Xenopus tropicalis: one gene and its partner. The protein of the gene in region 1 binds, or shares a complex with, the protein of each later gene. Links are inferred from orthologs where the notes say so. Each region holds a gene or a part of one and is shown on either strand. Other genes may lie near its edges.

The links.
Region 2: dis3l (region 1) and exosc10 share a complex: the UniProt entries of both Homo sapiens proteins name them as parts of the RNA exosome complex. The link is inferred for Xenopus tropicalis from reciprocal best matches to the Homo sapiens genes DIS3L and EXOSC10.

What each region holds. Positions count from the first base shown.
Region 1 is NC_030679.2:117,130,569-117,132,720, forward strand, and holds the end of dis3l (DIS3-like exonuclease 1), read left to right. Parts: intron 1-594; coding exon 595-769; intron 770-882; coding exon 883-1,185; 3' UTR 1,186-1,652; downstream 1,653-2,152. UniProt on the Homo sapiens protein: Catalytic component of the RNA exosome complex which has 3'->5' exoribonuclease activity and participates in a multitude of cellular RNA processing and degradation events.
Region 2 is NC_030683.2:64,900,376-64,904,525, reverse strand, and holds the start of exosc10 (exosome component 10), read left to right. Parts: upstream 1-1,350; 5' UTR 1,351-1,414; intron 1,415-2,987; 5' UTR 2,988-3,051; coding exon 3,052-3,177; intron 3,178-4,150. UniProt on the Homo sapiens protein: Catalytic component of the RNA exosome complex which has 3'->5' exoribonuclease activity and participates in a multitude of cellular RNA processing and degradation events.

The DNA of each region.
Region 1 (2,152 bases):
TGTACCAGCCTAAAGTACAGCATTTCTGCCCATATTTGTTATTAGAGTTTAGTGTGCCCACAAGCAATTTCTTACGCCTGCCTACTAAACATTACAGTGGGTTAATATAATAAAGGAAATTAGCTTTTCTTGGATGTAATTTTGCTACCTCGGTAATAATCAGAACCAATAGGTCTTACAAGGTGGCTTTATACCATAATGGCTGTTTTTAAAAGGCAACAAAAAGTTTACTCACTGGGAGGTGTCGATTTGTTAGGCACCCAGTAATGAGTTGTAACACCAGCTTTATGCCCAGGACAAGGTGTATGGCTGGGGAGCAAGACACTGTTTTTTCCATCTGCCAGTCAATGAATAGTTGTGTTGTGCAGCTCTTACCCTGGAGACAGGAAAACTGAGATTGTTGGCTTCCTCTCAGTTGTGTGACTCCATCTGCTCTTCTTCCTCCCCTGCTTTAGAGGTGGATATATAGATTCACTTGTGCGTGAATGCTGGGCTTGACCTTAGTTATTTTTGGTAGATGCCCTTTACTGAGCAATGTAATATTTGCACGTCACCCTATGGTTCAGTGATTCTCAACTCTATTGACCTTTATAGATATGGCATTAAAGGAGCAGCGTACCTGAAAAACATAGATGGGCTTGTACTTGCATGCAAGGACAATGGGCGGTGCCACTGGATGCCTGGGTCCCTGCAGCGTTTACCAGATCGAATTGTGGTCACTACCCAGGAAGCAAAGTCATTCTCCTATTGTCTGTTTGATCATGTGACTGTGAGTATCCTATTAAATGCCTCAGGTCTATTATATATATTCTGCATGGTTTATTCGTCATTCATATCAGTCAGTCCCTGCTTGTGACTTTAGCTTTGTTTATTATTGCACAGGTGCGGATACATGTCCAGTCATCTCGATTCCACCCAGATAGCATTCGGCTGGAAATAATCAGGAACAGACCACATTCGTCCCAGGAAGCGCTGCCCTCTGCATCAAACCCTCAGCTGGCCAGGAGCGAGCTGGTAAAGGAAGTTACCAGAACAGCAGTAGAGGCTCAGTTGGCGGTGGAGGGAGCAGAAGAGTTGAAGCCTGTGGAGCATTACCAGGAATACAGGCAAACTCAGGGACAGAGTCTGTACTCTATGCTGGAAGAGCTCTGGGACCTGGCTCTACTGGATGTATCTGGTGCATAATACTCTTTATACCGTGCTTTAGGGCTCTGAACCTCTTCTTACCCCAGTCGGCGTACATAGGGCGTAGTTATAGCAGTTTTAATCAGCTGAATGACCTTAGGCACAAATGAGTATGTTGCAGCAACCTGAATCGGTGTCAGACTTGTTGTACAGAAGATCTATATTGCTAAGCAGAAGCTTTTACCCTGTCCCTGTAAGGAATGCAGACATGGAAAGAGCCCTTTTTATCTCTGCCTTCTTTTCTCTACTCCTACATGCATAATCATGTACTTTATCCTCTCAGGGTCACACAAAGAAATGATAGGTTCTTATTTAAACCCATTTTAGATTGTTCAGCCTGTAGATATGGAATTTCAGCGCACTTTTAGCAGGCAGCATACATTGGATATCCCAAGGAAATTATTCTTTTATGTTAATTAGACTTTATATGATTTTGTTTTATGTTGCATAAATGTTTATTTTTGAAAGCTTTGCTGTCTGTCTTGGTTTGCAAAAATTTGATACGGAGCAAACAAACACTGCTGATAAAAAATCTCTTATACTTTATTCAAATTCTTTAAAATCATGGTGTGCACTTCCAGGCAAAAAAGACCACACGCCTGACGCGTTTCGTGGTATCCCACCACTTTCTCAAATACAGCTTTTGAGAAAGTGGTGGGATACCACGAAACGCGTCAGGCGTGTGGTCTTTTTTGCCTGGAAGTGCACACCATGATTTTAAAGAAATTTGAATAAAGTATAAGAGATTTTTTATCAGCAGTGTTTGTTTGCTCCGTATCAAATACAATACTTCGTTTAGTCTGCTGCCGTCTGGGTTCTGGCGTGACGTGAGCACACACTGTTGCCCGGTAAGTGCTCCTGTGATTTTGAATGTAAAGTTTGCAAAAATTTGCCTGAGTGGGTTTGCTTTCCCTTTGGAGAAAAAATTGGTGGTCGGCTTCAGATAGAGGAACTGTTAGCATTGGGC
Region 2 (4,150 bases), on another chromosome or scaffold:
GAAGCCAAACAGGAAGAAAAAATGCTGAGCTGCATAAAGAAAGTTCTCATAATGCCTCACTCCTGCACAGACATGCATACCAAGTGAACATGCTCAGTTCCTAAGGGGGGGAGCAGGAAAGAGCAGAAAACAGAAAGCTGCATGTCTCTGGCACAGGAATTACAGACACAACTAATCTTTTTTCAGAGAAGTCAGTGCAGCATTTCTGTGAGTGCTTATGGCTGTATTTACATAGACCTTTCTGATAAAGCTTACTTAGTTTTTACCTTTCTTTCTACTTTAAAGGGCATTTTCAGCGTTTTTAACACATTTCTGGGGGTTTTGGGGTCTTGTTTTATGTGTTATTAAAACAAGTCCCCAAAACCCCCAGAAATGTGTTCAAACTTAAAATAACCTGTCAAATGTAGTCAAATTGGAGTGGCATTTAGGGGGTGTGGTCAAAAAATTGCTGCGCTGTGCACAGCATTTCTTTTTGTACCTCTATCCATTTTCAAAATGTTGGGAGGTATGCTATACATCAGTGCTGTCCAACTGGCGGCCCACGGTATGGCACACACAGGCAGCATAGGGCAGGCAGAGTGCAGCTTATGTGTGCCATACTCTGCCTGCCCTGTGGGAGGTGAACATGGCAGGGGTTTGTTCTGGGAGTTTGTCAGCAGTTGGAAAAAGCCATTAAATGGTCCCTAAGGTGTGTAATTATGTGCCAGGAGTTGCTGTGCTATCCACAGGGGAGGTGGAGGCACATGGATTTAAAGGATAAGGAAAGGCTAAGTCACTTGGGGGTGCCAAAATGTTAGGCACCCCCAAGTGACTTTAATCGCTTACCTTGTACCCCGGGCTGGTGCTCCTGTTAGGAGAAAACAGCACCAGCCCGGGGTACCTGTAGCGATGCACTTCCTTCCTGCTTCGTTTCGCTGCGACTATACGATAGGTGCATGCGCAGTAGAGTGAAAAGCCGACTTCTCTGTTAAAGTTAGGCTTTTTCACTCTACTGCGCATGCGCGTGCACGGAAGCAAGAAGGAGGAAGCACTGCAGCTACCCCGGGCTGGTGCTGTTCTCTCCGAACAGGGGCACCAGCCTGGGGTAAAAGGTAGGTGATTTAAGTCTCTTTGGCACCCCCAAGTGACTTTGCCTTTCCATGTCCTTTAAGGCATATGTCTTATTATTACATAATATAATTCTTTCACAATGATGGTTGATATCCCCGCAGTGAGGACCAAGCTTTTGGGTTTTTGCTGCACTACCACCATTGTGATAAAATGGGTGTGGTTTGAAGTGGGTGTGGTTAAAAGGGGAGTGGTCAAAACTGGCTTCCATTAGCGACCCTTCACCATATGTTCTAGAGAAATTCCGGCCCTCTGCACCGCAGAAGTTGGACAGCACTGCTATACATAGTTATATCAATGTTGAAAGGTAAGCAGGGCCATCCTTTTATTTCCAATAAAGATAACTTTCTTGTAAAAAGTGCAATATTTATAAATCCTATAGTAGGAATATCTTATTTCCATAGGCTTCAAATGAATATCTTGCTGTGGCAATATTGATAGAATACAGTGTGTTGCAGATTTACTGTTTTGCTGCTCATTGCAGCTTTGTCAAGAGAAAAAAATTTGCACTTGTTCACATCTGAGCACATGGTTTTTAAAAATGTGCACACAACTAAAAAATGTGCACACAACTAAAAAATGTGCACACAAAAGGATTTTTTGCGCATGTAACCTAGAAGAAATTAGAGTGTACCTTTTTTTCTATTTTGTATATGTAACTTCTTTTCCTCCCTGCCACCTCTCCCTCTCCATTTTCCTCTACTTTGTCTAGAACCTCATCTAATCTATCTTCCACTATCTCACTGTTCCCTGGCCACTATGAGGGTGATATGAGGGTGAGGGTAGGCAAGAAGTTAACCTGCACTCGACTCAATCCCACCAGCTTCCGACCCATCCTAGCAATCCATTTCTTTCTAATCAGTGTCATGTCACATAAGTAGAGCTGTCAACAGGGCTGGAACTAGGGGTAGGCATAAGGGGCACTTGCATGGGTGCTACAATGAGGGGGTGCCAGGTAGGTACATTTAGATTGTAAGTAAACTCTATGGGGCAGGGACCTCCATCCTCTTGTGCCTTTGACTCTTAAGGTGGCCATACACGCACCGATAATATCATACAAAACCTCGTTTCGTACGATATTCGGTGTGTGTATGGTATGTCGGCGAGTCGACCGATATCGCAGGAAGCTGCTGATATCGGCCGACTCGCCGATCGGACCAGTTTAAAAATTTTGATCGGGCGCCATATTAGGCACCTGACCAAAATCTCCCTTCAGCGCTGAATCGGCAGAAGGAGGTAGAAATCCTATTGTTTCTACCTCCTTACCTGCCGATTCAGCCCTGAATGGTGTGTGGCGGATCTGACGATGTTTCGTGCGACCATCGTCAGATCGCCACGTGTATGGCCAGCTTTACTCTTATTGCTACTGTATCTTGTATTTATTGTTATACTTTGTATTTATCTATTATCTTAACCCCCTGTTTGTATAAATGTATTCTACTGTACAGCGCTGCGTACATACATACTAGTCTGTGTATCACTGCACCGCCACTTGTCATTACCCGGGGGCAGCTATGCATAAGGCCAGCAAAAATGATGCTTTTTGACAATGTTATCAGTAGTTAAAAAAGATTAAAGATTAAGGCTGGTACAGGTTTCCAAAGAAGGTGGCAACCCTAACTGTAACATTGCTTGTGGCTTGTAAGAAAATAATATATTTATATTTATTGTACTAATAAAAGAAAAACAAAGCACTTTCCTAACGCACTGGCATTTTGACAACTGTATAATTTACGGACTACTTGCGTTACTACATTATAGATGCAAATATACATACAAATTTAATCGCAGCACGAAATAGCTAATTTTTCCTATTCCATCAACCATCATGGCTGACCTTGCTTCTTCGAACAGGAACTAGATGTCACTTTATATCCTAGAGCGTGAGGCCATCATCGCGGGTCGCGTTTTTAACTGACGTAGTTGTGCGTCATTCAAAAGAAGATGGCGGCGCCCGGTGGAGGCATGCAGAAAATGGAGAATTCGGTAGATATTCGGGAGGATCAAGACCTGTCCCGCGACAACTCCGAACCCATTCCCGGTTTTTCAGACACGGACGCTTTTGTTAAGGTTTAGGTTTATACTATTATTGATAATCTCCCTACACGTTTTGATAATTCGTTGAAATGTCACTAGACCGTAAAAAAGTGTTAACAGATTTTTTTGTTGCGTTAGTACTGAAGCTAACTTTTCCACATGTTTGAATAGAGTTTACGTTATAGTTTGTGTGGTAGGAAGTTTTGTGGAAGCAACAGAGCAGACGTTGTCATTTAAAATGAAATTTCTCTGCACACGCTTTGTTCTAAAGAATAACTACTATTAGCAAGTGTTGATGAATTCACGGCTTCCACGTTACATCAGGACTCAGTACTTGGGAGCTTGGTATAACTATATCAGCAACTTGTATTTATATTATCCATAACTGTACAACATTAACCCTTTCACTGCCAGCCGTTTTGGACTAAGCGGAACTTCTACTGCCAGACAGTTTTTGAACATTTTGCACTGTTTCACTTTAGGGGCCTTTCCTGGGGGGGACTTTTAGTTTACCCTGGAAGACAATATATTGTTTTTTTCAGGACAACCTAAGATTTTAAAATATGGTAGAAATTTTGTGTAATTCCAATTCTGTAACAAGATATAGGCTTCTAATTGTCTAAAAAAATGGAAAAAAAAAATATTTTCCACAATATAAACACATACACCAGAAACAAAAATTAGTTTATGCATGAAAATACAACTGATTTGGAAAGTCCCATGTCTCCTGAACGTGCCAATACCAAATATATATATAGTTTTATGGAGATTTATGGCCTGAAATCTATACAAATAGGTCAAAAACTCCCAGCAGTACACTACCAAATTTCCAAAGCACTGCTCCAGAATGCTGCTTACTTCAGATTTCAAGGCCACTAACAGAAGGTTTATCCCAGAAAATTATACATTTTAAGAAAGAACAGATTCTGGGGAATCTATAATAGGTAGAACTGCCTGTCTACTCCAAACTACCAAGTTGCAATGCTTTCCTAAAGTTATAGTAATT